4 linked regions of the Arabidopsis thaliana genome follow. The protein of the gene in region 3 interacts with the protein of the main gene of each other region in a pairwise test. Each region holds a gene or a part of one and is shown on either strand. Other genes may lie near its edges. The genes, in order: AT2G40260, IRX9-L, AT4G18340 and CYP711A1.

Evidence for each region.
Region 1: the proteins of AT4G18340 (region 3) and AT2G40260 interact in a two-hybrid assay, tested with the Arabidopsis thaliana proteins (one large-scale study listed by BioGRID).
Region 2: the proteins of AT4G18340 (region 3) and IRX9-L interact in a two-hybrid assay, tested with the Arabidopsis thaliana proteins (one large-scale study listed by BioGRID).
Region 4: the proteins of AT4G18340 (region 3) and CYP711A1 interact in a two-hybrid assay, tested with the Arabidopsis thaliana proteins (one large-scale study listed by BioGRID).

The regions. Positions count from the first base shown.
Region 1 is NC_003071.7:16,814,905-16,822,899, forward strand, and holds AT2G40260 (Homeodomain-like superfamily protein), read right to left. Parts: upstream 3,827-7,995; 5' UTR 3,570-3,826; coding exon 3,251-3,569; exon of another isoform or gene 3,127-3,250; coding exon 3,050-3,126; intron 2,956-3,049; coding exon 2,919-2,955; intron 2,794-2,918; coding exon 2,691-2,793; intron 2,611-2,690; coding exon 1,914-2,610; 3' UTR 1,626-1,913; downstream 1-1,625. Other genes in the region: AT2G40250 (SGNH hydrolase-type esterase superfamily protein), read left to right, coding at 1-46, 160-347; AT2G40270 (Protein kinase family protein), read right to left, coding at 7,232-7,821, 7,905-7,995.
Region 2 is NC_003070.9:9,599,381-9,608,113, forward strand, and holds IRX9-L (Nucleotide-diphospho-sugar transferases superfamily protein), read right to left. Parts: upstream 6,722-8,733; 5' UTR 6,502-6,721; coding exon 5,738-6,501; intron 5,214-5,737; coding exon 4,964-5,213; intron 4,874-4,963; coding exon 4,703-4,873; 3' UTR 4,683-4,702; intron 4,490-4,682; 3' UTR 4,297-4,489; exon of another isoform or gene 4,171-4,296; intron 3,817-4,170; 3' UTR 3,798-3,816; downstream 1-3,797. Other genes in the region: AT1G27595 (symplekin), read left to right, coding at 14-169, 258-320, 555-665, 755-838, 938-985, 1,260-1,334, 1,544-1,639, 2,367-2,447 and 5 more; AT1G27610 (uncharacterized protein), read right to left, coding at 7,731-7,925, 8,052-8,264.
Region 3 is NC_003075.7:10,128,126-10,135,739, reverse strand, and holds AT4G18340 (Glycosyl hydrolase superfamily protein), read left to right. Parts: upstream 1-3,547; 5' UTR 3,548-3,720; coding exon 3,721-3,793; intron 3,794-4,013; coding exon 4,014-4,350; intron 4,351-4,586; coding exon 4,587-5,295; coding exon of another isoform or gene 5,296-5,328; exon of another isoform or gene 5,329-5,420; coding exon 5,421-5,495; 3' UTR 5,496-5,690; downstream 5,691-7,614. Other genes in the region: AT4G18335 (uncharacterized protein), read right to left, coding at 6,377-6,871; AT4G18330 (Translation elongation factor EF1A/initiation factor IF2gamma family protein), read right to left, coding at 7,153-7,614.
Region 4 is NC_003071.7:11,137,120-11,145,381, reverse strand, and holds CYP711A1 (cytochrome P450, family 711, subfamily A, polypeptide 1), read right to left. Parts: upstream 4,574-8,262; 5' UTR 4,532-4,573; coding exon 4,290-4,531; intron 3,802-4,289; exon of another isoform or gene 3,687-3,801; coding exon 3,534-3,686; intron 3,460-3,533; coding exon 2,712-3,459; intron 2,620-2,711; coding exon 2,524-2,619; intron 2,442-2,523; coding exon 2,112-2,441; 3' UTR 2,022-2,111; downstream 1-2,021. Other genes in the region: IQD6 (IQ-domain 6), read left to right, coding at 400-465, 540-767, 845-1,072, 1,145-1,258, 1,335-1,949; AT2G26160 (F-box SKIP23-like protein (DUF295)), read left to right, coding at 5,931-6,926; HSFA2 (heat shock transcription factor A2), read right to left, coding at 8,165-8,262.

The sequences.
Region 1 (7,995 bases), on a different chromosome or scaffold from region 3:
ATCTACTCTCCGTTAATAGACATGATCAAACATCCTCGTAAATACGGTAACTAATTGATTTAAGTTTTTTTTTCTTTTTTTTTTTTGTTTTAAAGTTTTTCCATATACAAATTTTGTTAATTGTGGCATAGTTTCTAATTTGAAGAGTAATGTATGCAGGACTAGAGGAAACATTGAGAGGATGTTGTGGGACAGGGCTACTTGAGGCAGGACCTCTATGCCAACCATTGTCTCGGACTTGTGACGATGTTTCCAAGTATTTATTCTTTGATTCTGTGCATCCTTCACAGACGGCTTATTCTGTCATCGCTAGTTTCGCCTTACAAAAATTGTTTCCTCTCCTCTAATTTATTATTTTTATTTACAAGACTTTTTATTTTTAAACCAATAAAGTTCTGGTACTTGGTCTTTTATTTGCAAATTTTTCTTTAAGAGTATTGGTGGCTTAATTGTTATTAAATTTATCATAATTTCTAATGTTTGCAACTGACATTACATATCCAGTTACTTTCCTAGATAGGATTGTAATAAAGAAAAAAATAGACTTTGAGTGACATCAGATCAAAAAATACAAACCTTGTGGGTAAGTATTTGTGTTGTTGCTACTTGTTATTAACATCCTTGTAGTTTAGTTGAACTTCGCTTCATTTTTCGTGTGGTGGGAATGTAAAAACGAAAATCAAATAACCAAGATCATCCGACAGACCAACAGTATAACATTTCTCCCAACTAAAAAGTGTATGTAATTCACTAATTTGTATATTTCTTCCCATGAGATTTTAATTATGAAATTGCTTAGTTATCATAATCATATTTAAATATTTTTGTTAGAATTCCACTATCTCAAATATAAGCATAGAAAGAAAACTGATGTCTCACGTTACAAATATCTTTGACTTAACAATATGGAATGATACAACAAAGGCACATGTGAGTAGACATAAAACAACAAAAACTTTCCATAGTTTTGATTCTCTGGAAATATGAAAAAATTCCCAAATATATAATACATATAGCCAAATCTTATTCAAGGCCCAAGATGATAAGAAACGATTATATGCGAATAACAGATACTAGCTTGTTGTCTATCGAGGAGATCAAGACATATCTCTATGTCAAGTACATCTGTCTTCTTGTCGTTCTCTCCAATTTTCTCTTAAAGAAAGTGTCTTCTTTTTTTCTTAATTAACCTCGCAACTAAATTAAAATAAACTTTGGTTGGTTATCAGAACCGATTTGTTTTTTTTTTTTTGTTTTTTTAATACAAACAAAACATTCAGCAGACCTGATTTTTAAATTAACGGACCTTTCATATAATTTCAACTACAAATCTAAAACATAGAATAATTTATAAAACGATTTTGAAGAAGGCAAAAACTCGTCTTTATAAAAATAATAATGCTATAGCTCAGAAAGCTATGACTCGGAAGTCTTCATCTTCTTTTCTTGTATTCACTGATTTGACGTTAACGTATAAATTTTCAGACAATATCTCCATGTTAAAACAAAAATATTGCTTAGGATACTTGTTATGTGAGAGTAAACTACATATACATTGCAACGTCTAGACAAGCTTATAGACAACGTGCAATGTCTTGTAACTCTCAAAACCATATATATAGACTCTCACTAATGTATTTCTTGGTTACTATACTATTTAGAAGAAAACAAATTTCTGCTCCCAACTCGATCACAAATCATATATATTTTAAAATATGCATTTAACGATCTCGACAAAATTATGTGAATTTTTTTTTAATAAAAAACATTAAAAAATGTCTCTATTATTTCCTTAATTATGGGTCTTGTCACAAGTATGCAACGAATGATAAACAACAATACAGAACCGTCTTCCATCAACAAGTACCACAAGATCTCACTTAGAATATACGTATATAAGTTGTTATACATATTCACAGAGTGAGATCAAGGGGACTTGCCAAGACCGAAATCTTTCTCTTTTTGTGATCAGTTTGATCTTCTTTCCTAATGGTTCGGTCGAGTTTTGATGAACCTGAAGATGATAACGAAAGAGACAAACTCTTGATATCTTGATGATCATCATGTTCTTTTACTTCATCTTCTAACAAGCATTCTCCAAGATTGTCGTGTGTCCGAGGTACCTTAAGGGACAAGCTTAGATCCAAATCTTGGTCTGACTTATTGCAGTCATCAGAAAATAATAACCTCTTCCTCTTCAAAACATTCTCTGATCCTTCTGCCACTCCAGCATTCTCCCATTGATAAGAATTTAGCGTTGTAGCAATATGATCTTGTGGTATTGTTGCGGTGGAGGACTTAAGATTGGAAGAGAGGCTCTGTCCCCATGATTTGTTAAACGTTTTCATACCTTCAAGAAAACTTCTATGAATTCTTGGAACAGCTCCAGCTACTCCATTGTTATCATGAACCCCTTCATGAGAATTGATTCGAAATGAAATAGTTTTGTTCTTATCGTTAAGAATACTATTGCTAACTCCGTGATATCTCTCACCAGGCTGTGAGCTAAACATTGTTTGTCTTGTTCTTGTATTTTCTCGTGTCGTTAATCCTCTCCAAGGGCTACGGTAGATCTGTCGTCTGTGGTCAGTCCACGAACCACCACCATATCTATTGAATACATTCCAAGTTACACACACGTAATTTTAACTTATAGTTTAAAGATAGCTAGCTGAAGAGTTTGTAAATACCCTAAACTAGAAGAAGGCCTTTGATCAAAACTTTGTAGCATTGGAAGTTGGCTAAGGTTGTAAGTGTAACCAGCTCCGTGTTCAAACGAAAATCCTTGATCTCCTGTAGTTATAAGAAAAGATAAAACACGAGAGACAAGAATTAGTCAATTTCTCGTCGAATTCAATTATAAGATTTATAGAAGCCCTAACTTAAATCAGAAGGTAGAAGAAAGCTAAGTAAACTACCTTCATTAGGCTCATCGGTCTTCTTGCTTCTGTACATCTAAGAAGAAAAAAAAATGAAGTATGATTTCAGATGAAGATCTCAATGATGTATATAGATATATACTCTATGTGTATGTGGATATTTGCAAAACCTGAAGATGACTCTTAACATGGGCAATACTTAGCCCCTTGACGTTCATCAATTGGAGAACAAGCTTCGGTGTTGCTCCTGTTTCAACAAAATCATTGAAAGAGACCCCAAATAAATATCAACAAGAAAACCCTAGAAATTTAGAGATCTTCACATATGCAATGATCTTGATATTGATTCATATATATAATTGAAACTCAACTATCTGGGCCACCCAATCTCTCCACAGCTTGAAGAAAGCAAATATGGAGCTCCGGCGTCCATCGCAGCCTCGGAGTCTTTGAGCGGTTGTACGGCCTCACGGATCCTCCATTCTTCTTGTTCTGATCATGGTGGTGACTCCCACTCTCTTCCTCATAGCTATTGCTAGATGGGCTCTGATCTCCAGATCTCTCTTCTTCATCCTCTTCGCCTTCTTCATCATCCTCTTCATCTTTATCTTCTTCATTCTTGGTGGTTGCTTTGATGTTGTTAGATAGACAAGTCTTGGAGTTTTCAGAATTTTGGCTGCTTGATCTCATCTTGGTCTCTAGCTATTTGGCTGTTTTTGTGTTGTTTGTTTTGAGGTTGAACCTTTTTGGTCTATCTTGGAGTTCTCTGGACAAAGATCAAACAAAGATCACACACTCATACATATGTGTTAGGAATTTAAGGTGAAGACTTTTGATGGTCTATGTGTATGACTTTTTGGATGCTTGTATCCATCATTCCTTTTTCTCCCCCTCTCTCTCCAACTCAACATATATGTTGAAATATGTATATGATGGCAACGGATATTCTAAATTCTATTTAATATATAGCTTTTTATTACACCAATGGTTTTTTCTACAGTTATATACATCTTAGGGAAAGATAGATCTAGAATTACACCTCATGACAAAAATGGTACTTTTAATTTCATTAAACATTAGTAACTTCAGTCATAAGATGTATTTTAAAATGAGTTAATAACTATTAAGTCAATTAGTACAATTAATCTTTGAATCTCGTTGTGATAGGGAGTGAAAAGAAATTCCAAGGAGTAGATTGAATTTATCTAAATAATGATCATTTTCATGGTAAAAGATCAAACGTTTTCATGATATCAACCCGTACGTATACCAATTTTATGACATAAATCAGGGTTCAATATGACATGTACATTAACAATTTTTTTTGTTCTTTCTTTCAAAACCAACTGAAGATCTATGTTTTTCATTGGATTTGGTACGTGTTTTTGTTTCATTCGAACTAGCTTTTAGCAATATAGGAAGAAGGCAACATTAATGAGGCATACACATTAATTAGATAAATGAAACTTCTTCCATCGTTACAACTCATGAATTAAATTGACTAGAAAAGCAAAGCATAAAAGGGGATGGTTAGGGGGATGGGCTCGTGACTTCAAAGCCAAAGCTGTGAAACCAGAAAAAGAAGAAACCCAAAAGCATAATTAGATAGATAGACAGAGAAAGAGCATAGAGAGAGGAATCAGACAGAAGTTAAAAGGTGCTTGGCTGGGCTGTCTTCACTGAAAGACACGAGAAGAAAATATTACTACTTGTTTCTGTCACCAACGACAATCACGGGTTTGTCTCCATCTCCACTACTCTTACGATTTCATATTATCTATAATTATCTACACATGCGCCTCTCTCTATATACATGCAAATAGTACATCTCTTTTTCTATATATAACCCAAATAAATGTTAAAAAATAAATAAATAAATTAGGATACAGAATATAACAACTGAAGCTAATAAGTCACATGATTATCACAGAATTGAACTTGAGAATTATATGAGTTTCTGTACGTACACACATGCAACCAATTGATTTAGTTTGGAATTCAGTTCAGGGGTGATTAGTTCGTTCTATATAGCGTACGTACTATTAAAATTACTAGTAAAATACTAAACAAAAGATATGTTCTAATTAAGTATGTCATACTTTTATTTTTGTGAAATTAAGGAAGTAGGCAAAGTAGGGGATGTCATACTTTTTTAAGAACTTAGAAAGGAGAAAATTAAAATGTATAATATATGATTTACTTATTGTCATGAACTTTGCGCCTCCAGGAGAGGGTCAAGGCAGAATTGTATCTATCTGTATTCCTCTAACATCAGCAGGCTAATTTTTCTTGTAAGCGACATGCAAGTACTGTGTCAAATTTTGTGAATGGTGACCAGATAATGTGAAAGTCATCGGTCAAATAAATTAGGTATATGACATTTCTTTCTGTTTTTTTTTTTTTTTTCAAAATCGTTTTTGGAAGCCCAATGTCCAGCCGTAATCGTATATTTTCGTCGTCGTTATTAATTGGTAGGAAGAATTAAAGCTGTCGTATATTTTGGTTTTAAAAGTGTAGCAATAATAATTTACGTTAGAATGACGTTCTTCATATCTACCCTATAATCCTACTTCCATGCTCAGACAACCCATGATCAATTATACGACCCAACAGATACCAAATGCTAAGTATTAATATCAATCACGGTATTGACAAAAAAAGGGTATATTAACTACGGTATTGATTTACTAAGTTATATAATCCGTTGAAATTGACCACGACACTATGCTAATTCATTTTCCTTGACACATATATGAAATGAACCAATCAAATTCTAAGCGTGGACCAAAGTCTTCGTGTTTTATGTCTCTCAACTTTTAAAATTTCGGTACCTATAAGGCTATAACTTTTTTATAATATAGGGTTTGAACTGAAGATCTGAGATTGTAGAAACTATATACGCAGTGTACACTAGACCGAAGAAAATTCAAGTAATATATTATATAATTGTACTTCAAATAATGTGCAACCATATGTGAACGTAAATATATTAATCGGAAAGAATAAATTAGGGGTGAACCGAGAGGAATATAATAATAATGAGATTTGTACGTATTATGCATGGGGTTGCATGCATAGTCACTGCAGCTAAGTAATCAATCAGTATGGCCCAATAGTTTAGGTATTGAAACCACAATTGCATATTATATTATTCGTAGTCACTTTTATATCGTTTTTTGGTCTGACATTATTATATTACCATGAGGACAAAAGTCGTGCTCGCAATTTTTTTATAATAAAAACGAATAAAGTTTGGACCAGGGCAACTTCGTGGAATGTAGGTTGCTTGTCGAATTAAAAATTAGGAATTTCGTTTCATATGTGATGCTTGAAAATTAGTTATTTTTTACTTTGGGGAATTCAGTGATGACACAAACAAAATGTATTCAATCAAACAATGACTGTGGAATAATGTTTTTGACTGAAATTTAAAACGTTATTATTGTTCTTAATCAAAATCTCTACACACATCATTTTATTTTTTTTTGGAGCAAAACTGCAAACATCACCTAAAACTCTAAATTTTAGTTTTTCTTCCTTCTGTTTTTTTTTTTTTCATAAGTAAAATGTCCTTCTAAATCGATATTTTTTTAGTTATTAACGATCTTCTCTACAACAAAATCCATCACCCAATTAGGCCAATTGGACTCTACTCTTCCCAAATTATCTATAGAAGATGTTAATTAGTGTTAAAATCATTATTGATTGATTGTTGAGGATTAAAAAGAGTAGAGGTCTTTTTACATTAAAAATAAAGTAAAGGGGTTTCCGTGCAACAAAAGTATTACAAACCCATCACTTATTAGGTTTCCGTTTTCTCTTGGAAGTAGAAGACGACTAGACTATTCAGCGAAATCACAGGAATATGTATGATGTGATGTCGGATGAAGCGAACTTGTGGTTTCACGAAGACGAACCTCCTCTCCGTAAGCGGTAGATGGAAGAAGCTCCACCTTCACCTGTCAAAGACCTTTATTTCTCCGACGAAGAAGACATGAGTCCCGAGGAACTATTTGCCAAGTTATTCAAGAATAAAATATCTCTTCAAACCATGAAAATATTTATGCACACTTATATTCTTAAAAGTATTTTGCAATTTCTCCTCTTATCATTTTGCTACAAAATAACTTTGAACAAAAGAATGCATTCATATAGAAGAAAACGGATATAATTTTCACAAGAACTTTTTTCCGATATGCACACTAATTTATCATATACATGTTTGTAAATTTACTAAACTTGAAGAGAACTTCAATTTTGCTTTACCAATATTACGAGAGATAAATAAAACAGACACTTACAAAACTCACATCTTCAAAATATATACAGTTTTATTAGTGAAGGGGTCTCTCTTACGCCGTGGACAAAACCTCCAACTCTGCCCACCAAAGAGGTGACAATTTCGGTGTAGCATCGTTCGGTGACAATCCCGTGATCTCCCGTAACCATCCTGTGACTTCTTGCATTGTAGGTCTCTCTTTCGGGTCAGTCCTAAGGCATGATTTGATCACTTCACCTATATTCTCAATCTTGGCATCATAAGATTCCAGTGTTGGATCTACCATTTTGGCTAGAGTCTCTCCTCTTAAGAAATCAACCAGCGAGCTATCTACTGAGTCAGGTTTGTTAACGGATTCTATGAGTTTCCCGGTTATCATTTCGAATAACAGTAAACCAAAGCTGTAAATGTTGTCTTCTGGATTCAAGGCTGAGATGTGTGTGTCTATGACTGTGTTGTTGTTGATGTTAGTCTCTGTCTCAGATGAACCGAAACTGAAATCTGATACTTTGACAGCATAATCCTCTGTGAGCTGAAGAGATGATGAGACGAGATTGGTGTGAGCTATAGGTGGATTGAGTTGGTGCATATGGTCAAGGCAATATGCTAATCCCATTGCAATTCTTAACCGCATTCCCCAATCCAAGTGTTCTGATTCTTTATCTGTAACAAAAAAATGATTAGCTTCTCTTTAGATCACAAAGAAATGAAGCCAACATGGCTGATTGTGTGACAAAAGTACTCACAATGTAAATGCTCAAAGAGTGATCCATTTGGAGCATACTCAAAGATCAAGATCCTGGTGAAAGGTTCCTTTTCTTCACAATAACCAAGAAG
Region 2 (8,733 bases), on a different chromosome or scaffold from region 3:
CAATTATTTTCAGGCAAAAAGCCAGATAACTTTGACAACTGAGTCTCTAGGGTCTGGAAACTCCGACATTCCCTCTCAGCAGGATCTACAAACTTCTCGTGAAGTTTCAGTTATATCAATTTCTGAAGCTCAGAGACTGATTTCTCTGTTCTTTGCTTTGTGTAAAAAGGTCTGCGTAGTCTTTGGAGATGCTCCTTATGCTCAAAGTTATTTTCTATTTAAAGATTCCCCTAGATCTGATGAATCTCTTTTTTCAGAAACCTAGTCTCCTTCGACTTGTCTTTGAAGTTTATGGGAGAGCTCCAAAAATGGTAAACCAGGTGAGTTAGTCTATTCCTAATAAACCCTCGTGTCACTTATGTGCATCACATGTGGCATGGTACAGAATTATTTTTGGATAGGATATTACTTTTGATTATCAGATTTTTATTGTGTTGGGGCGATGTATGGCATTTCTTATATGCATCACGTGTGTTCTCACAGTTTTAATGGGAGTAAATGATATTCACAAACTTCAAATTAATTCATTTTGGTGACTTACTGAAATGGTTCAGGCTTTTCATCGACATATACCTATCCTAATACGAGAATTAGGTTCATCTTATACGGAACTACTCCAAATAATATCCGACCCTCCTAAGGGAAGTGAAAATTTATTGACATATGTAAGTGACTTCTGTGTTTCCTTGTAGTAAATCCACGTTAGCCTCAAAAGTAGATTCTAATTTTGAATAACGGTCTGTTACTTGTGAAGGTGTTGCAAATATTGACACAAGAATTGGCACCTTCTTTGGATTTGATTGCTACTGTAAAACATCTATATGAAACAAAGCTAAAGGTTTGATTTGTTATGAAGAGCTCGCTCGTATCTTTTTCTTGTGTGTAAATAATTATGAAAATAAAGTTCAGAAAGCCTTACAGAAAATTTGTTTTGCAGGATGTTTCAATTCTTATTCCATTGCTTTCTTCACTCACTAAAGACGAGGTTAGTTTTTACTTTCTTTCCATAGCTTCTGCTCTTTCGCTGTACGTTTACCCTGAAGAAAGATGAAGAGGCTTGTTATTTTTATTATATATCTTGTTCCCTCGTTATTTTACCTATCTGAAATGTGGAAATAAATAAGAACTAGTAATCATGGAAGGCTTCTGATAAAAATTTTGGTCCTTTGCTGGTGGATGCGAAAGATGATGTTTTGTTATTGCCTATCAATTGTGGAAATTCCTTATTTTATGACGGACATTATTTTTCAATGTAACAGGTTTTGCCCATCTTTCCTCCCCTTCTTAATCTTCCGCCTGAAAAGTTTCAACTTGCACTTGCTCATATATTACAGGTATATGCATATTCTCCAATCCATCCTTTAATTGCTACTCACTGATCATGCTATGCATAGAGGATTGCCTTGATATTTTAATATCTGATGAAATGAGAGATTGGTTTGTCCAGTTACAAAACAGGAACAACAGTTCATTTCATGAGTATATTTTACACACCTGTAGTTTTTCTGAACTATTCCGATCTTTTGTGTTATATCTGTGATAGGGTTCTGCTCACACAGGCCCTGCACTTACACCTGCCGAGGTACTGATTGCTATCCACGATATTGTTCCTGAGAAGGATGGGCCACCACTTAAAAAGGTATTTCCAACTTTTCTATCTGGTTTGAAAGTACTTCTGAAGGGACTTGTTTTCTGCACTCATTTGCTCAAAATCAGTCGTGATACTAGACCTACACTGCTGTGTATATTTTCCTATTGGCATGCTTTCTTTACTATCCCTATCTCTTTTCGATGCATCAGCTCTGCTTAAGTTCTGTGGCTTTTGGCAAGTGTGCATAAGGAACTTATAAAACTTCATCATCAGTTGCATATGGCCACGTTATCATAACTTACGTAGAGGCAGTTATCATAAATCGTAAATTCAACAGAGACGAGGTCATCCAGAAATTAGGGTGGAAATGGTGGGTTGGGAGTGTTGGGGATTCAAATAATACGTTGGTTTAGGTGTGTACGTCTATTACAGAATTTTGGTAGCGTGAAGCATTGCTGCTATGTCATATCAAATGCCCTTTTTATTTTCTGCTATTTCCTCACTAGTAAAATAGGTATTTCCCAGTAACTTCCAGGCAAGCTATTTACGCGAATATTAATGATTCATCTCATGTCACTCGCTTTAGGAAGGTAGAAAACTAGGGGCAATCAGCAACTGGCTAATTAGATTGTCAGAGTTGCTATCGACAAGATTAATCTGTTTTACCCATGGACGACCCTTTATGAAATTCTGCCACTATGCTAGCTGTTCTATCTAGTCTCTATTGATAGCAGAGTCACATTTGACTGTGTTTTTTTTTGTTTTTTGTTTTCAGATAACAGATGCATGCTCAGCTTGCTTTGAACAACGCACTGTTTTCACGCAGCAAGTCTTAGCAAAGGCCCTCGGTCAGATGGTATGTCAAATATCATGGAAAAGAACTTCCTATTTAGTTAGATATTGAGATCTGTGATACTTTTTGGTTTCAGGTTGATCGAACTCCTCTGCCTTTACTCTTCATGCGAACGGTTATCCAGGCAATCGATGCTTTTCCAACACTAGTAAGTGTCCTACTATAAGTTTAAAGACCTCCGTGACATATTTACCTAAAAGCTTTTTTATTACAAAAGAACCAAAGTAACAGAAATAGAATTTGAAATAACCCAAAAGAACTGCATTCTTCCCTTGGCCTAACCCAAAGCTCTCTCTAGCTTGGATGGGTCTCACAAACCCTTAATTATAAAGAAAATGTCAAAGTAAAGTGCAATTAGTATAGTTTTAGTCTAAGCTATATTATAAGATTGTTTAGTTGAGAAGTGACAGTATATGGTTTAAGTCTATAGATCGAACTCTGGATTCGTTTGGTCAGAAGTAAAAGAACTTTCTGATTTTTTGTCCAGGTTGATTTTGTAATGGAAATTCTTTCCAAGTTGGTGAGGAAGCAGGTGAGTAATTTAAAGATCAAACACAAGGATCAGCATTGAGACTTATTTTCTATTTTGTGTGGTTATGACTGAATGTCTTGCCGTGTCTTTTGGATGCAGATCTGGAGGCTGCCAAAATTGTGGCCTGGCTTCTTAAAATGTGTGTCTCAGACAAAGCCGCATTCTTTCCCTGTTTTATTGGAGGTACAAGAAAACGTTGTGGAAGAATATACGAGTTTAGTGTATTACCCAAAAATCCAAATAACTCTTTGGTGTTGTTTTGCAGTTACCAGTGCCTCAACTTGAAAGTATCATGAAGAAGTTTCCTGATCTAAGACCTTCCCTCACTGCTTATGCGAATCAGCCAACTATCAGATCTTCTCTACCAAAGTAGGTCTTCTAAATCAAACAGACACTCTGTTATCCTGTATTTTAAGTACCACATGTCAGATACTGAATGGTGATGCATGTTTTAACAGTTCAGCTCTTTCAGTTCTTGGGCTTGACAATGGGCAAGATTCACGTTCACAAATGCACCCTTCAGATGCAACTTCGTCTATTCATGGGGCGGCCTTAACGTGACTCTCTCTGGAAGAATATCGCCAAGTTGAAGTTATTGGAGGAGACAAAGCACAGATGATTAGATCCTGTGTCAATGGTGGGAGACTGGCTACCACGCGTAAATCTGACTACTAACTACATGTCTTTGGGATTAGTAGCATGACCAGTATGGTAGCCCAGCGTGTGTGGTCATTGATAATTTCTTATTTGTTGCCCTTTTTGTGTATATTATGAAAATTTCACCTTGGCCGTGAGAAGGGGTTCACATGTAATGGATGTACAATCGCATCAACGTTGTTCCTATAAAAAGAGAAGATAAGAGTTGAGGATAATAATATCAAGACCAAATATCAATTGCCATTGAGTTTATACGGTTTCGAGCCCATCCCAATTTGAGACACCCTTTAGGTCCTGTAGTATTATATCTTTTTCCTGGAAAATGTAAAATCTTATATTCAACGATACCTTTTTCCTGGAAAATGTAAAATCTTTCGTTTACTTTTACACCCTATCTAATTGTTTGCTATAGCATCACCATTTGTGTTCTGTATTAAGTATGGTTTTTAACATGCGGTTGTTTCTTTCTATTTCTTCTCTTCTTAGGAAGTGATGATTTAAGCTCTAGACTCTAGTATAGACTAGACTTTGATTATATAGGCGGTGAATTTTTTTCTTCATTGCAAAAAAAAAAAAAGGAACAAGAAGAATTTGGTTAGCCATAGGCGAATACAATGCTGTGGAATCATCAATGTCCGAAGGTAATATAATTCCATCTCATACTAAAACACCAAGGCCTTCAATTTAATTCCAAGCAACTCTTGCATTCAGGGGAGGCTCACGATTCCAGCAACGTTTATCCAAAATGCGTGCCTCATCACTATCCTAAACTACCCTCGCTCGTCTTCTTCCATTCTTCATATGCTTCTTTGATATATATCCAGTAATGAGCACAGCACATGGGGTAAGTAGAAACCTGCAAGACATATAGGAGGGAGAAGTCAGATGATTCTTCTGCAAACAAACACGCATAGCACCATCAATAGGTAGAGAATCCGAATTTTGATTAAGGATCAACTAGCTAGCTTCACCCTTTCCAAATCCAAACAAACACTGACTTTTCACGGTCTTGAGTTCACATTAAAAGTTCGGAACCTTATAAATCTTACCAGTCAAAACTATCTTCAAACTATTTCATAGTTATGAGAGCCTGCAGATTCTTTTGGATCGCCCACCCTTGTGGATAAGGGACATCCAGGGCATCCAAGTGAAGATGCCAGTTCAGTATACTCGAGCAAGCTGGTGGAACACCTTCCATCTCGCTTTCATCAGCCACCACCTGCTCTATAAATGATGTCTCCTGCTTGGAAACACACGATGTCATGTATAAGAAAAGGGTTGACTGCACACCAGAGAAATCCAAAGATATGGGAAAAACTCAAACTCATACCTGGAAACCCTCCTTCACTGTGTCTAGTTGGCGGGTTGGATGTGAAAAGGGACGTCGCCACCTTTTAGGGTCCCAGAGTATAGTGCTGTTAAAAGCAAATCCCGACATATCAACATGGAACCTCCTTAGTCTTTTACTCTTTTCATTAGTGTGCCATCCTATTACTTGACTTCCATTGCATACTGGACCTTCAAGGATGGCCTTGTTTTTGCTTTGTGCGAGCATAGCAACAGGCCAAGTCCCAAATCGGCTACACAATGTAACAGATAAGTATAGCAAATTAAAATTGGGGACAAATACTTTAGAAGAAGAAAAGCTTTGGAAATCAAGCCATCAGCATTTACACTCAATGGATGCTTAGATTAACCAAGACAAGGTACAAAAAGAATGTTTAACAGAGTCCTTTCCAATAACGAAAAATGAAGTATTCTCTCAAGTCTCAAACAAACAAGACTGAGCACATGGCAGAGCAAGCAGAAAAGTAAGAATAGAGGCAGGCAGACAAAAAAAAACTCAGATTCTGTGCAGAAAACTTCAAATTCTCATTACTTTCAACATCAAAGTAATAGGCGTATATTCGGTGTTCAACAACACTAGAATCACAAAGACTGCACGCAATAAAGCCAAAAAGATGCCAATAAAATAAGCGCAGACGATAGAGTTGCTCAACTAACAAACTCAAACATAAACCGCAGTCTCTCTAATAAGTCTATTTCACACAAAATTACCATCAATTAGAGACAGCAAAAGTAATGAGCAGTCTTTTTGAGTCACCTGATTTGTCTCAAGCTTTGAAAGAGCTCAAGCGAGTAGATATTGTCATCATCAGCAAAGTAGACAATTCCATCAAGCTTATGCAACTCAATATGTTCCAATGCAGTGTTTCTCTGATGCACTCCTCTATCCTTGATACTCGTCATGTTCCTCTTGCAAACCAAGTGCCTGTACATCACTCCCGTCTTCCTCAGAATCTCTGAGGTTTCAAACGACGCCACGTTACCCTCCACCACTATCCACAGCACAGGCGACTCAACTAGTCTCAGCGTTTGAGCAACCCTGTTCAAGTAATACGCCTGCATCGCTCTATTATACGTTGGTGTGACCACAATTAGAAGCTTCTTCGGCACAAAATTGACCTCCTTCTTCCCATTTTCAGTCTCCGCCACGAAACTCACCGCATCTACAGCTGCTTCTTCCCGTTTCCTATTTTCCAACCGTTCTTCAACGTAGGGCTGTTTGATCTCGAAGGAGAATCGATCGGAACCGTTTACATCTTCCATTTTTCCGAAAGGTGTCAAACCTAATACAAATCCAAGAAGAAAGAAGACGAGAAACTGGTAAAACGGTCGCCTCCATGGACCTCTACGCGAGCTTTTAGGATCAGACGTTACTCCGAGGAGCTTGGTGAGATACGAAAGAAATTGCGAAGAATTGTGTTTGCTGCTACTACCACCAATGGTGAAACCTTTGTGTGAACCTCCATTCTCGTGAGAACGATCGTGATACATCGGCGAGAGAGTTCGCCGGATTGACGCCATCAGATAATCTCACTCCACCGTCCTATTTTTCACAGCTCCCAAATCAAACATCCAAAACAGCAATTTTCGCAGAGATCCGCACCAAGTTTGCAGGAGAATCCGCGTAGGATATAGCAATTTCAATCTGAAGTCGGATTGAGTAAGGTGGTTGGTTCTAACTCAAAGTCACCGATCTGAAACACGATTGGAATGGATCCGTCGCCGCCGAGATCTGAAATTGAGCTGGCGGAGAAAGTTGCGGAAAAAGCACTGTTTGTTTGTTTGTTAAAAAAAAATCTTTAAGCTATGCGAGTTCGTGGGACACGTGGCGAGATTATGGCTCGTACACTCTGGCAAAATAATGATTACGTTTAAGTTTCGAGGAAATGGTCTACTATGGTAAAAACAATAATTAAAACATAAATTGGATTTAGTTGTAATTGTAAACGCTGCCAAAAAAAGAAAACATGATTAATAAGTAATTCTAAGTTTTATCATCATATAAAGTAATGGCCTCTACTTACCTATTATCCACTATACTTGAATGAGTTCTAAGTTCTAATTACATTGAAAATTTTATTTATTTTAGCGGTAATAAAAATAGATATAACTCATATGTCAACTAGATTTACTATTAAATTTAGCATGCATTTCTTACATCATTGCAACACATATGGTACAAAAAGATATTATATTCCGTTTTGGTTTTTAACGGTGCAAAAATATTAGACAAAATTTTAAAACATGTGTAATTTACAGTCCTTTTTCGAAAGTTTGGGTTATTTTAATACCAGTTTTCTATAATATCAAGCTTGGCGACGTAATATTTGATTAAGCGATTAATTTTTTTTGCTGTGGTGTTTTTTTTCTTTTTCTTTTTTTTTCAAGTAGAATTAGATTTAGTATTGTATGTTTGAAAGCTTAGTCAAAAAAATTTCTCAGTTGTTTTGTTAAATCTATTTTTAACGGTACAAGCAGATATCTAGTTTCAAAAATAGATTTACATAAGTTTTTGTGTCAAAATATTAAAAATTTATGTAGTGATTTTTAATTATTTATTAAAATAAAAATGTTTAGGTTTACAAGATGTTAAATCTATTGATTTGATCTCATGGCAAAAAACAGATAAAAACATAAAATAAAAACAATCAATTTATCGACTCAACGTATGTTGTGAAGCAAACGGTATCAGATAAACGATACACGATTCTAAAGTTCTTCTAAAGTGAGCTACAAAGGAAAAAAGATGGCTATGAAAATTGTAAAGACTTGCAAAACAAAAACCCAAAGTAGCATAAGCCTTTCATTGGAGGGCTTCGTAGGTAGTTCGTCCATGAACCCGTCATTAATGAAGGATTATAAATAAATGTGATGAATATACTGTTCTTCGTCTCCATCCTTCTGATCAAACGACTTGGATGTACAAATCCAAGGTACTCTGAAGCCTACACACCACATAGGTGTACAAATCCATAAAATTTGAGCAATAACCCGATAATATAGCAGAAAGCAAAAAAATGTAATCCAAAACCTAAGAAAGTCCTATAAATGATAATCATATAAGCACATACCTTGAAAAGCTCGAAGAGCTTCTTAGGATCTTCTTCTTTTTTGTTGAATTCCTCGCGGATCCACTTCTCATCCTTAGTGGAGAAGGGTTTGTAGGAATCTTCTTCTGGTTGATAGTTGCTTTGAAAGAAGAAGCTCCAACAAGCATGTGTTATAAGCTGTCTTTCTGGTGTGGGAAACAGAACTCTTATATGAATATTTATAAAGGTGTTCATTAGTTTCCTTCAATGTTTACAATCTTCCTCATGATTTCACTAGAGACATCCAGAGTACAAACGACTTCGGGATCGGATGATTTCTTAAGAATTTCTGAAACTTTTGTGGATACTTCAGCCATAGAACAAGGATCAAGGATTTTAACAACTGAGTCATTGCAAGTTATGTTTACTTTTGCATACTCTCCTCCAGTCATGATAGATGATTTTACAAGGAGAGAAAAACCTAACAGAGAAAGGAAAAAAAATCAAAGCGTAGAGAGTCGAGAGGATCATATTCGTTTACAAAAGAAAATAGAAGATCGTTACTTTAGAGATGAAGATCGTGATGGTTTCAGATAGATAGAGAGAGAGAGACGAGCGAGGAAGTGAAAGAAAATACATAAACTTCTATTTTATATCCCACCCTTTTTCTTACTATCAACAAAAAAAGAAAATTGTTTAATGTCGGTTTTCCGATTGTTAAAAA
Region 3 (7,614 bases):
TCTCATTTTCTTGTCGTTAACCAAAAAAGATGGAGTAAAAAGAGAAACATACACATAGATTTAAGGCCCTTTTTACGTATGCGCGTCATAAATGAAAAACACTTTGATTAGTATAAGAACATTTAAATTTTAACTACTATAAAGAAAAAAAAAGCACACGTAAAAGCTTTTAGCCATGCATGCACGATGTTTACTGGTTATCGAGAAAGCATTATCGTTGTTGGATAAGACATTAACTTTCCTCTCCTATATGATCATAAAGCTTGTTTTTCTTCTTCATAAATCTTGCCGCTTAATCCTTATCCATTATCCACCAAAAATTCAATTTTGTAGGCAGCTTTATGAAATAATGCTTTACACCATTTTGACTCGATTATAAGTATTATATATATCCACTATTCGAAATGGCCCACGATATCTGTATTTTAATATGACGTCAAATATCTTATTTTGTCTAATGAATCCAAACTAAGTACAGTATGTGAATCTTGGTAATATATGTATATAGAGTTCAGTTCAAATATAAAATACAAGTGTATGACGTCAAAAAGAATTTTTAGATACGTTATAGGCTCATTATTTAACTATATGTTCACTTTGGTGCAGCTTAGTATCTTTTATGCAGATATAATTTGAATTTTTGATCTGGTGAACTATATATTGTTAAGTAAAAAAAAAAACATGTCGGTCCAACCCAACCTAGACCTGTCAAGCATGTTTAATGATGGTTTGGCCTGATCCATTTGTTAAACAGTAGGTAAAATTTGCAATCTTTTTTTTTTTTTGTTTTTTTTTGATTTTGCAATCTTCTCCCTTATCTACACTGTTCTCTTTAAGAAACCCGCTATAACACTTCCCGAATCATTCATGCGGGAGAATTCAAAGGTACCTTAATATTACCACCTTCAAACCAATTCGCACATGGTCCAAGTTGGAAATGGTTAACCAATTTAGTTACCTATCACTATCAAATTCCCACAGTTGGGTGTGATGCATCATACATTTGCAAATGTCCAACATGGAAATCCGAATCAAGTAAACCCTATATATACTCTATTTTTCATGCGTTAAAAGGGTTAAACCCTTTCTTTGAAGAAACTTAACCTTTGTTCAAAAACATTGATATCGTTGAGTACTTGTGTTGCTTTAAAAAGCTTTCATGTCATTTTATTTGCATATTCGATATTGTAAATAAATTGCAGATTAAATGGCATATTCTTTCAATCCGAGCTAAAACAAAATCATTCTCTTTTTCTGTCTGCTGTTTCAAACTTGCTGGACAATTATATGATCTTTCTGATTTGGACATTAAAATATCCACAGATAACGTAAACTTGAAATATTCTGCAACCAAAAATATGTCCATTCAGTAAATAATTAACAAACTAGATCATATTCATGAAGAACTAAACCAGAATCATTAAATTTAAACATTAGAAATAAATTAAAACTTGTGTCATATACTCGATAATAAATCAAATTATCTTTAACTTTACACATATAGGCCTATATAAAACAATCTGTTCGGCCGTGTATGGTATATAGTTACGTCATTATCAAATTAATCTATATGGAACTGCCATAAGTCGACCGGTGGTCAATCCTAAGCCACGAAATCAAACTTTTAAACGACGAACTAAAAGTTTTCAGCCAACTATAAACAGGCCACTCTGAATAATTGACTGATTTTGACTCCTTTCCACATATTTAATTCCAACATCGAACGATTACATTTTTAATTGCAACAAGTTCAATAGCTTGAGACGGGTATATTTCTTATAAGTTGTATACATGTGTTCAAATAAAATGGCTCTTGGTGTCGTGAAAAAGAGAGAAGATTTAATATTATAGAATCGAAAAGAAGACACTAGGGTATTTTGGATTAGATCAATACAGCCAAAAGTTCCACTTTAAATTAATGTAATTTTCTGGCTAGCCAACCTTTCGAGAAAACGAATTGACTATCGTCTACGTGATCAAGTTTAACCCTTTATATTTTACCATTTAAAAATATAGTAAGTAGAAATTAATTGATTAACAAATCAATAGCCAACCAAGCGAAAGCACTTACTATTTCTTAAATAAGTTTTGTTGGGGTTTATTATGTCAGGTGATTAAAAAACAACCGATGGTTGAAATTGACCGACGGCTCCAAGTGTGTGACACTGCCCCGCCAACTTGTCTAATTCCCCTCGAAAGCATATTAGCAACATTATCCCAATTGACCATTTTATTTTACTTTTGTTATGCTAATGCTTTTAGTTATTTGTCAATTTATACATTATCATATTTGTCTTGTTTTATTTTACAAGTGCCTCAAAATTAAGCATGATCCTTTTGTCTAAAGGAAAGTAAGTATATCCCTTCTCTATCATCTTAATCCGAATAACAATATATTTGAGATTTTTTCTTGACAATTAATGGCAAATTATATTACGACTTATATATCTTTCACGAATACAATTTTGGATATCCCGTTCTTGATAACTTTCGAGGACTTGTATGAATTTCCGTCCAAAAGCCTCGGATTACAAAAAGAAAATAAATATGTGATATATGTTTATTTGTATGTATTATATTTCCCGGGAGATTTGAAAATATTAAACTTTAAAGGAGAAACGGAGGAGGCTTCCTCAGTGTACTATTGAATCCTTTGACACGTCAAGTCAAATCGGATCTCCAATTAGCTTTTGTCTAAAGAAATATAGTAAGGTTTGTTTGTCATATTAATTAGGCTAGGATACACTTGCGGTCAAGATTCATGCGAAAATGTAATCATTATTCTTCGAATTTGAATTAGCATTAAATTAATCATAATTAACACGTGATTAGTAAAATCAATGATTCAGATAAATTAGATAATAATATTAATAGTAGTAAAAGTTAATAAGAAAAATAAAGACCATTTTTGTGGGACTAATAACCCATTATAAAATTTCTTTTGTCATGAAGTTTTAGCTGAAAATTTGATATTTTACCTTTCATGATTATTCTACAAGACATGATTATCTATTAAAATTTCATTGTGTTAATATTAATTTTTATACCACGTCTTTTTCTCCATGATTATCGTAGAATAAACTTTTGGTGTATAGTACAAGTTTGTTTTAAGTCACGACTCACCTACTTAATTGAAACGAATATTTTAATATTTTCCGGTGCTTTATGAAACTTCTTCAATATTCTATACACGTCCACTTATGTGTATCCCAATCTCTTCTTAATTTAATAACATTGCTCACTTTTTTTACCAACCCAACAGTTAACACCACTTGTATAGTACATGTAATTAAACGAAACACACAAACAACGTATTTCCTTCCATACATGTGCATGCAAATTGTCTTGTCATAGAGTCTGCATTAATCTAGCTATATGATAAATAACTACATACAAATATTTTAAAACCTAATAATTTTCTTTAATAAGAAATCCTTCGTTGTGGTTTATAGAAAGCCGTCAGTGGATAAAAAAGGCATAAATGAGAAAAGCAATATAGGGAGGCAAAGCTAAACAATTTAAAAACACTTTTTTTAAAAAACATAAACTTCAACACTAAACCTTTTCACAACAAAAAACACGGAAAAAAAACAAACAAGCGAAGAAAAGTATTCTTCACCTTGGTTGGCTTATTGTGTATGTCTATAAATATTCCATTAAACACTTCTCTTAAAACCCAAAACCTTCACAATCTCTTTCCCTCCCTCTCTCTTCCTCAACATGACATCAAGAACATTCACAAGACATTCCAGTCTCATTCATGTTTTTCTCCTGCTTTCTCTCGTTTTCTCAGGTTATTTTCTTTTTCATTCTGAAATTTTAAAACCAAATTCTTAACACTTAAGTTATGCTTTACGTTGCCGCCTTAAAACCTCAACGTGTAAGATTTTAACATAGTGAAATAACGGATCGATAATAAGTCTAGAATTCATTTTTTCAATGTTTGTTTAATGGAATATTAAAGATTTTTGGCATTGTTTTCTAAAAGTTCGATTCTTTGTTTGGAAATATAGGGAATATACTACAAACAGTAACGTCTCTTGGCATCAATTACGGACAAGTTGGGAACAATTTGCCTTCACCGGATAAAGTCATTAACCTCTTGAGATCTTTAAGGATCACAAAAACAAGAATTTACGACACTAACCCTCAAATCCTTAGTGCCTTTGCAAATTCAAACATCGAGATCATCGTCACCATCGAAAATCAGGTTTTACCATTACTACAAGATCCTCAACAAGCTACCCAATGGGTAGATTCTCACATTAAACCCTATGTTCCGGCCACTAGGATTACCGGAATTATGGTCGGAAACGAGCTTTTCACCGACGACGACTCTAGTTTAATAGGGTAAGTACTAATCGTTGAATATTAGTCTAATTTGTTACATGATCACAGAATTAGTTTTTTTTCATTAACTGATTTCACATTTTCTTGACTACCACTTGGTCAAATGTAACGAACTCCTTCGAAAAAAATATTATATTTATTAAACTCCACTTTGAATTTCAATAAGAAATGAGTGTAATAGTTTTTGTCCAATAATTGCTAATTTTGACTATATTCTCTCCTCTTTTTGGTAATAGATACATGATGCCGGCGATAATCAACATCCACAAAGCCTTGGTCCAATTAGGTTTAGATAGATACATTCAAGTCTCGTCTCCAAGCTCTCTTGCCGTCCTCGGTGAATCTTATCCTCCATCTGCCGGAAGTTTCAAGCCGGAGGTTTCCTCCGTGATGCAACAACTTCTAGATTTCTTGGAAGCCACGAAATCTCCTTTTTGGATAAATGCTTACCCTTACTTTGCCTACAAAGATAACCCACAAGAAATCCCAGTCGATTACGTTCTATTCAACCGTAACATCGGCATGACCGATCCCAACACAAGACTACACTACGACAACATGATGTATGCTCAAGTTGACGCAGTTGCTTTCGCGGCTGCGAAACTAGGGTACCGTAACATAGAAGTTAGGGTTGCGGAAACAGGGTGGCCTTCAAAAGGAGATGTCGGAGAGATTGGAGCGTCTCCTGTGAATGCTGCCACGTATAACCGGAATCTTATGATGAGGCAATTCGCCGGAGAAGGAACTCCAGCGAGACGGAATGCAAGACTCGATGTTTATATATTTGCGTTGTTCAATGAAGATATGAAACCAGGTCCTACTTCGGAGAAAAACTACGGTATATTCCAACCAGATGGATCATTAGCTTACAATTTGGGATTCTCTACAATGTCGACAACGACGGCAAATTCAGAATCTGTCACTTATTCATCCTCTGCCACTAAGGTACGATTAGTATTATGTGGTGAATTTTGTTAGAATTTGGAATTATTGGGGCCACGACGAGAATAAGTTTGTGAAAGGACTAGATGTGCAAAATGAATTAATTCTCTGTTTTCTTCTTCTTTCAGGCAAAGAGGAGCTTGGAGTATTGGACAATTTTGATATTGGCGATGGTTCAAGTTGTAATGTTGAGACTATTTTAGAGGAAAAGTTATTGACAATATAATAACGCGATTGTTTAGGATATTTATGTAAACAATTTAATTATAAGCTTGATAAATATAATTTATATTCAATTCAACATTCAAATGAAGTCGGTCAATAGTGAAAATTCTAAATTTATTGTTGTCGTTAACAAGTAATTGACATATATAATAAAGAAACAAAGTTTACTTTTTAAGAAAAACTTGTCGTATATGAAAAGGTTTGAGTAAGTAGTAACTTTGACCAAAAGGCATATAATCGATAACCAGTAGCGGTTTAGAATCAACCATATATTTTTTTCCCTCTAATTCAAGAAATATGGCATAGCTTAATTCATTTGTATATGTTGTTGGATATTTTAAATACAATCCCTAGCTAGTTATATAATATAGATATTAGAATGCAAACATATGCATTGGAGTGGACGGTACGAAGAATTGGAACTGAAGCTAAGAAAAAAAAGCCATGAAACAAGAGCTTATGCTCACGATGCAAATTCACATGCTCATTTCCAATTATATCGGCTCAATATACTCCCTTGTTCTTGCCACAAACGATGCGTTTTGACCTTGAAAACATAGACACATATGCTTTTTTCTCTCCATATATTATTTTACCGATCAGTCAAGTTTAGTTTTATAGAATAAAATAATTCAGCTGCACGTAAGGAAAAATAAGTACTTTCTGAAAAATCAAAGGACACGAACAATCAAACATTAGTATGCAAATTATTTTCATACACTTGACCGTCAAAAATGCACTGATCAATGCACCGGTCATTCCGAACAAAAAAGAAAAAAAAATCTTTAAAAGATGAAAAATACAAAAGTGCGACGAGAGGAACAAAATCGTTTCACGTACGACGTATCGGCAACGATATCTAGGGTTGTGTAGAAAGATCGCAAAAGAGAGTAGTAGCGGAATTAGGGTTCTGGTTATGGCATGGAGATGAACCGGAAGGAGGTACGAATCCTTTGGGAAGCATAACCGAGAAAGTATCCTGTCGAACCGGACGGTTTAAACCGTTATTCTTCTTGGCCATCATCTTGAAGTAGCCAGCACGATGATGAAGACCACGGCGATGACGAAGAGTATGTCGATAGTAGTAGTAGTATTGGTGATTGTAACGACGACGACGGTGGTTGTCTCGTTGCAACCGCTGGTTCAAGATAAACGGTGTCGTTTTCTTGATGTAGACGAGTTGGTGCGGTGATTCGTAACCGTTGAGATAAGCTTCCGTTTTTTGTGTTGATGATACTCTTGTTTCTTGATTCGAAGATGATGATGATGGTGAGATGAGGAAGACGAGAGTGAGAATAAGAGAGACGATGAAGCTTTTTAGAAGACTCTGTTTCATCAAAACCAAATCTTCCATTGGGATTGAAAGAGAGTATAGGGTTTTGGCTGAGAGTAAGAGAGAGCGTAAAGATGAAACAAAAGCTCAGAACGAGGAGGGAATTAGAATTATATAATTCCTAATTAGTGATAAGTAATATCATTAATGAAATTATGAATTTGTTTTTTAAATTTTCGTCAATGTTGTGTTAAATATGAATATAGTTTTATATTGTAGTCGAAAGAAAGTGATTAAACATACAAAGGCACATGTTAATTATTTTTGAATGCAAACAATATAAAAAACTCATCACTACTTCATTAGAAAGGAGGAGGAGGAACATCGATGGTGGTTCCAGCCATAATCTGACCCTTACCAATTAGACGCCAATGCCTATCGACACGTCGGCTTAAAGCAACCTTCTCTCCTATGGTGGTACACACCGGAGACGTCAGTTGGAGTTTCACCATATCTTTCTTGACTCCAATAACCTTAGCTCCCGTAGACATAGACCCGATGTTCACCATCAATATCTCTTCTTTGGTTAGCTTTGACACTTTCATTTGCTTCTCTTTTTCCTTTGTCCTCACTCCAATGAGACGAGTCAGAAGCTGGTAACTTACTTCAAGCTCAACAAAGACGTCAGGGAGAGTACCCATTTCACCAAGGACTTGACCAACCAACCTATCAGCACGCGTAAGCGTAGGGTCCATGGTTGTTCCAACTCCGATTAGACCTCCCGGTACAGCAAACTGAAGCTCGTTCTGTTCCGCGTATAGTGA
Region 4 (8,262 bases), on a different chromosome or scaffold from region 3:
AAAAAGTAAAAAACAACAAAAAGCCTAACATACATATATATATATATTTATTAATTTATTGTACCTTTTCATGGTTTCTTTTTTCATGCCTGTAACTCTGAGAAGGACACAGACACATTTGTTTGTGTAAGTAATAAATAAGTGTGAAAACACAATCAGAGACAAAAGCCTAAAGACTCGAGCAAACTTTTTATTAATATTTTGTTTGTTGCTTTGCTTTGATTTGTTCAAATTTCAAAAACTTCTCTTTAACCCACCACTCCCTCCATTACCACCACAACTTCACATTCTCCGATATTCTCTCTCTCTCTATCAATCTCTCACTCTCAAACTTTCTACATACCTGAAGAAAAAAATAATCTACGAATTCGAGCCAAAAAGATCGAAACTTTTTAATCTATGGGTGCTTCAGGGAAATGGGTCAAGTCCATTATCGGTCTCAAGAAGCTAGAGAAGGATGAAATCGTAAGTTCATTATCTTTTTTTTTTGTTCTCTCGTTCAAAGGTTAAAGCTTTATCGAGAGATACTCTGTTTTCAGGAAAAGGGTAATGGGAAAAACAAGAAATGGAAGCTATGGAGGACTACTTCAGTAGATTCATGGAAGGGTTTTCGAGGAAAACATCGGTCTGATTCAGACGGTGTTGATTCTTCTACTGTTTACTCTGCTGCTGTTGCTACTGTTCTTAGAGCTCCTCCTAAAGATTTCAAAGCTGTTAGAGAAGAATGGGCTGCTATTAGAATCCAAACCGCTTTTCGTGGATTCTTGGTGAGTTTGCTAATTGGTTTTGATTAGAATTGAGAGGAATAGAACTTAGTTTAATTTGAGGATTTGTTGTTAATTAGGCGAGAAGAGCGTTGAGGGCATTGAAAGGGATAGTGAGGTTACAAGCTTTAGTGAGAGGAAGACAAGTTAGGAAACAAGCAGCTGTTACATTGAGATGCATGCAAGCTTTGGTGAGAGTACAAGCTCGTGTTAGAGCTCGTCGTGTGAGGATGACTGTTGAAGGACAAGCTGTTCAAAAGCTTTTAGATGAACATAGAACCAAATCTGATCTCTTGAAAGAAGTCGAGGTTCTTGTCTTTACCTTTTTAGCTCATTGGTTTGATGATTGTTTATTGTTTTGAGATTTGTTATGTTCTCAGGAAGGGTGGTGTGATAGGAAAGGTACTGTGGATGATATTAAGTCAAAGTTGCAGCAGAGACAAGAAGGTGCTTTTAAGAGGGAACGTGCTTTGGCTTATGCTCTTGCTCAAAAGGTAACTAACTTGTCCACATTCAACATCTTGTTTAAGTTCGTGTCTGAAGCTGAATCGGGAATCTTGTTTTGTGTAGCAATGGAGGTCAACTACTAGCTCAAACCTTAAGACGAATAGTTCGATTTCGTATCTTAAAAGTCAAGAGTTTGATAAGAATAGTTGGGGATGGAGTTGGTTGGAGCGTTGGATGGCTGCTAGGCCATGGGAGACTAGACTTATGGACACTGTTGATACCGCTGCCACGCCTCCTCCTCTGCCTCATAAACATTTGAAATCACCGGAAACTGCGGATGTTGTTCAAGTTAGAAGAAACAATGTGACCACTAGAGTATCTGCAAAACCTCCTCCTCATATGCTGTCTTCAAGTCCTGGTTATGAGTTTAACGAGAGCTCAGGTTCATCCTCGATTTGTACTTCAACTACGCCTGTTTCTGGAAAAACTGGACTTGTTTCAGATAACTCTAGCAGTCAAGCAAAAAAGCACAAGCCAAGTTACATGAGCTTGACTGAATCGACAAAGGCTAAGCGAAGAACTAACCGCGGTCTCAGGCAATCTATGGATGAGTTTCAGTTTATGAAGAACTCTGGAATGTTTACAGGGGAATTGAAGACTAGTCCTTCCTCAGATCCTTTTGTTAGTTTCTCCAAACCACTCGGTGTTCCTACTCGATTCGAGAAGCCGAGAGGTTAAATGTGACCTTGTTAGATTGGAGTTTCAACAGCTTGTTGTTGTCTTGTGTGTTGTGAGATATCTGTGTATGTTGTTAATTGTTCTTTTTCCTTTGGAACTACATTGGAGTTTTGAATTTAAATATAAATTTCAGTCTTGCTTTTATTTCACTTGTTTCAAGAATCAGAATCTTTTGATGGTTCTGAGCTTAACCCCGTTCTTGAAGCTGAGAATTATACCATAATCAAGCTGCAGTGGTATCTCCATTTCTAGGGAATGTCTGAAAATGTAATTACGGTAGAGATGCAGTAATGTGAGTTTGATCTCTTGCAGGGCAAATCTCTGTCCAACACAGGCTCGTGGACCGATACCGAATGGGATGAAAGCGTATGGATGTCTATGTTTCTCCTCTTCTCCGTTCGGATCAAATCTTTCCGGCTTGAACTTCTCCGGTTCTGGAAAGTTTTTAGGGTCCTTTGCTAGAACTCCTAGTGCTAACCAAACCCATGTCCCCTAAGCAACAACCACAAGGTAAGTAATAGATTACAAGTGCTGACTGTAAATGGACTAATCCGCTTGATGGGTTTGAATATACCTTTGGGAGTAAATAACCTCCTATCTCCACTTCTTTAGCAGTTTCCCTTGCAACCAAAGGAGAAACCATGTAGAATCTCATAGCCTCTTTAATGACCTACAAAGGAGGCAAATAAAAAACATTCATAAAGATTCTAATCTCTCACAGAAACTCAACTTCTCGGTTTTTGTTTGTTACTAATGAAGCACCTGATCGAGGTATGGAAACTTGTGTTGTAAGTCATGAGCAGTCGGGATCAGATCACGGTTCCCAAACCCGTCAATTTCTTGAAGCAGACGTTTCTCAACATCAAGATGACCAGAGACTAAGTAAAGAACAGAGGATAGTGTGAAAGCAGTGGTTGCAGAGCCAGCAAGAAGATGCTCATAAGTCACAGCACTAATATAATCCGATGTGAAGATGTTTTTGGCGAAAGGATCGGACTCTCGAGCTTTCAAAATCAATGACAAGAAGTCTTTTGAGTCAGTCTCAGCCTCCTTGGCTCGCTTTGACACAATCTCATTAAGTTGTCCACTCAGTCTTGCATTAGTCTTCTCGACTCTCCAGTCCATTGTTCCCGGTATCCTCTTCAACACCTGCCTAAACGGCTCTTGAAGAATCGGAATCAGTAAGCCTAAGATGATAGAGAGTGATCCTGATAAATCCATCTTGAGTTGTGTTGTAGAGTAGACATGCTGGTTTATGAAATCAGTCACCTCCACATCTTTGATTGGTTTCTTCCCGGAAAGACCGAAGTCGACTCCAAAAGCCGCTTGTCCGATGATATCAGTGGTAAGTTTGAGGAAGAGGTTGGAGAAAACGATATCTCGCGGTTTAGAATCAAGATTATGAGTAGCAGAAGTGATGAAACTATGCATTGTAGGGATAAGACTTGTTAAATGTGAAGGCTGATAGAGAGATAGGATGGTGTTTCTCATTTTAGACCATCTCTTGTCCCTGTCAAAGAATCATAAATGGTTATAGAAACAAAAACATACATAGTTTTATAGAGCATGTATGTACCATTGTACCTGGTGAAGAAGAGGCCTTTCTTGTGAAGAGGAGAAGCTGAGATTGGGGAAGGAATGCTTCTGTTTGGAAGATCTTTGAACTTCTTTATCCCAACTTCTCTGCAAAGCTCTGCTTCTGCTATTATTATCAGTGGTTGCCTCCCCATCTGAAATCTGTTTGTTGTTAATTTAAATGGACATGATCACTTGTCTTCATTTTGTTTTTTAGACACTTGTTGTGTTCATCACTCAGTCATAACAACCATAAGAGATGGCCATATATACCAAACTAAACCAAAATGATTAAACAAAATTAAACATAATGTGTTTATAAATCATTTAAATTAAAATAAACTGAAAATCAAATGAAATAATACAAAAACTACATTAAATTATAAATGTTTTTTTCCATTAGGTTTTCTTAATTATTTATCTCTTTTGGTTAAATTGGTTTCATTATTATCAAATGACTAAAAATGAAACTGAAGTTATAAATAAACAGAAATTCATTAAAAAGTTATATTTTTTAATTATATATGTTAAAAAGTACTTGTATATTAATTAAAGCACTATTTACATGAAGTTGTTTTCCTTATTTTAAAAATCAAACTGACTCTAAAGTCTAAACAGAAAATCAAATCAAATAAACCAAAAATTACATTAAACCGAACAAATTAACTAAAACTGTTTTTTTTTGTCGACACGAAAACTTAAAAACTAAACTCTAGGTCTCTAGCCACCGAAAACAGAATAAAGAGAGAGAGAGAGGAGAGGTACCTGAAAATAGGGCCATATTGCTTAGCAAGAACGGAGAAGACATCAGGACCATACTTAGCCATCAAGGGCAAGTGACCAACTAGAGGCATAGCGGTTGGACCGGGAACATTGCATACGGACCAGGAGGGTCGGTACAAGTAAATCACAATTACAACCGCTGCAAAAGTCAAGAATGCAATAAGAGCTTCGTGTTGTGTCAAGAATGGATCAAGAACTTCCCACCATTGATGTTGCGTCTTCATCTCTCTAACCTCTAAAGTTCTCTCTTCTTTAGTTTAATGTGTGGGTTTGTTTGTTAGGTGGTTCATTAATTTATATAGTAGTTGATGTGCTTTTGAAAAGTGGGTTCTACACTCTTTCCACTAGCCCACCTTTAGAATAGCGTGGGACTATTTCGCAAGAAGACAACATGCGTTGAAATTATTAGTCAAGTACTCAAGTTCTCATCTCTACTAGAGAGTAATATTGCTAAGTTATTGTAACGCACGGAATCCGTATTAATTTTTATGTTTTTTTTTCTTGTCAACATTTAATTATTTAGTGTTTAATTCGAAACTATTTAACTATATTTAATACTCCTCTATGTTTGCAAAATTTACATATTCTAATATTTTTATATTCTGAATGTTAGTTTTTTGTAAATATATGATTATAAATAAACAGAATACTATCTTTTGAGTATGGGGTCCTTTTGATGTTTGACCAATCTTCACCCATCGTTGTACTTTTGTTACACTACTATCAAGTGCCTCTACTTGTCAAAGGGGTTTACCGTCAATTGGAGTAAACCACGCTTCTACTTTTGGTCTCCTTTCTCCACTTTTTTTTTTCTCTCTTTTATTTTGGATCACAAATTGTTCTTCCTTTTTCAGTTGAAAAAATTATTGATGGTTCTTTAGTTTTGTATTTTAATGGGTTAGGGAAAGAAATGGCTATATATGGAGGAGATTGTTTCGACTTTCGAGTTTGGACATTGGAATATAAACCAATAATTGATAAAGGAGAAATTTGATCATTGCATGACCATCATTTATGGAGTTAGGTGTTCCTTTTCTATCATGATTCATGATATTAGAATATTAGATCATTGTCTTAATTTTTGGTTTAGAGTTAATAATTTTTGTTCAACATTTCTATATTTTTATACAAATTTTGAAGTCTTTTTTTTTTTCTTTTCTTTCATCTAGTTACGTTTTTTTTCTCTCTCCAGATTTTCTGTTCTATTTGTTAGAATTAGAGTTAAGTTGACATGTATGTAGTAAGGGTATTAATTTGCACCAAAGCTATTGAGAGGGAGAGACGAAATTTCATCGAAATACGAACTGTTTTATAATTCATTCTGCGATTTTTTGGTTTGCTCAAATAATTTTTAACAAAAACAAAACATTGCTCCAATAATAATTTTTAACAAAAAAAAAACATTGCTCCAACAATAATACTAAGTCAATACATGTAATGCAGATATTACTCACGTGATAATAGCTAATCGAAAATCCAACTAGGAATTGGATGGATTCTAGTCCAGCCCACGTAAGTCCTCAAGTATCTAGGGTTTAAGTTTTGTTGTGTATATATATGGAGTTATAACAGAGAGGGCGAGCCGATGTTGATCACGCTCTCACATCGTCGATTGATTCAAAGATGGAAAAACCTGAGTGGTCTGAATTACCTGGAGACCTCATCAATTTAACCGCAAACCGTTTCTCCTCCATTAGTGACGTCCTCCGTGTACGTAGCATCTGTAAACCCTGGCGTTCGGCGGCTGCGACACCGAAGAGCTTTCAATGCAACCTTCCTTCCTCCAACAAGATGATAGAGACTGTTCTCTCTCCCACCACTTTCTTCCGTGTAACTGGCCCTTCTTCATGTTCTTACAAAGGATGGCTGATCAGAACCAAACAAGTCTCTGAATCCAGTAAGATTAATCTCTTGTCTCCTTTCTTTCGCCAGCTCCTAACCCCTTCACAACAAACCCTAGACCTTTTGAAATTTGAGGTTTCAGAGATTCGCCAATCTTACGAGATTCATATATTTGATAAGTATTTAATACAAGGCGTGATAGGTAAAGAAGGACCATCACATATATTGTCTAGAGTTGTTTTCCTAGACAATCTGATTTTCGCAGTCGGACAGGATGACAAAATCTGGTGCTGCAAGAGTGGAGAAGAGAGTAGTAGAATATGGACAAAAATCAAAAACCAAGTTGAAGATTTCTTGGACATTATACTTCATAAAGGACAAGTCTATGCCTTAGACCTAACCGGCGCAATTTGGTGGATTAGTTTATCACCGCTCAGCCTCCTTCAATTCACACCTTCAATTCCAATGGACTACGACGGATATGATAGTTGCAACAAGAGACTCGTTGAGTATTGTGGAGATCTATGCATTATTCATCAACTTCGCTTAAAGAAAGCTTATATCCGAAGGAGTCAAAGGACAGTTGGTTTTAAGGTTTATAAGATGGACGAGTATGTGGCAAAATGGGTTGAGGTTAGGTCCTTGGGAGACAAGGCACTCATTGTGGCTAGGGACAGTTGTTTTACTGTTGTAGCCTCCGAGTACCATGGATGTTTGAACAATTCTATCTACTTCGTTGATAATGTGCGAAAGAGTGTGATAAGAATGAAACTATGAATTTCTCTTTCTTATCCTTAAAATCCCAATTACAATGAAACAAACCCTAAATCGATAAGCTTGGAGTTACAGTTCTCCAATCTTATCTCCCAAGAACAGAGCACATAAAGCTCTAATCCTCTTTACACATCAATGATCACGCAGGATGCTTTTCTCTCTACTCTCTCTTACTATTTATAATCTTCTTCACACGTGACTCCAATCTCTCACTTCAGTTCTCACACGTGCCAACTTCTCATGAACGTATCAGAGTGGCGCAGAAGCTGATCAATTTATCAAGCATGATGATGAGAGTTCCGAGTACCATGGACTTTTGAAGAATTATATCTACTTCGATGATAATGATGGAGAATATTGTAATGATGGAATGAATGATGAAGCTGTTAAGATGTTCAAGCTTGGTGATGGTAGTATCATCGATAGTACTGAGTTTTCTTCTCATAGTTGTTTTCACATGTTCTTTCCTCCGTTCCTCTAAAAACGATTAATTATCTTAAATCTGAATCTTGTTTTATTTATTGCTTATAGTTACGTGTTGTGTTGTGTGCATGATCTTGTAAATGTTTGCAAATCCATAAACGACAAACATTGAATATAGAATAATTTAATCCAAATTTGAAACTGGAACATCATCTATAAGAAACTTGATTAAAAAAACTTTTATGTCATGAGTTATTTTTTCTTGAATCTAATTTAACATTTTTCTTTTTTTGAAGTTGTCGTGAGTTGTTACATAGGACTAGGATGCAGCAGGAACTTGATCTACAAAAATATCACACAGGCCATTTAGTTCCAATTATGTCCCAAGTAACTAGATCAACAAGTTTGTAAATTTTATGAACTTCAAAATTAAAAGTGTTACATTCAAAGAAATACTTTCTTAGTATCATGACCTCTTTTCTCTAAGAAAGCTTAGCAAAAGTTACTAATTACATAAACTCCTAAATGTTGACCAAAGTGAGTACTAAGATAAGTAGACACGGAGCTTGATACTCTTATCGCAGCTCCATCTCATGCTTCTAAGGTCTGGAGAAGGAAAAACAAACAACCATTAAAATTGTCAAACGAAATCAGAGTTTTTTATTCATCAGAACAAGAAAACACAAATGTACAACAAACCACACTCAATGACTCTTCCTTGAGTCAAAACAAACAAACAAACAATTCAACTAGTAAATAAAAGTGGTAGCATTACCATAACTTAGACCGCAACAAGTAGATGTGTTAATACCGTATAGTTAAGGTTCCGAACCAAGAAAACCCATTTGATCAACCATGTCATGTAGATCTTGGCTGTCCCAATCCAAAGGCGAACCAACCAAATCTTCCACTTTCA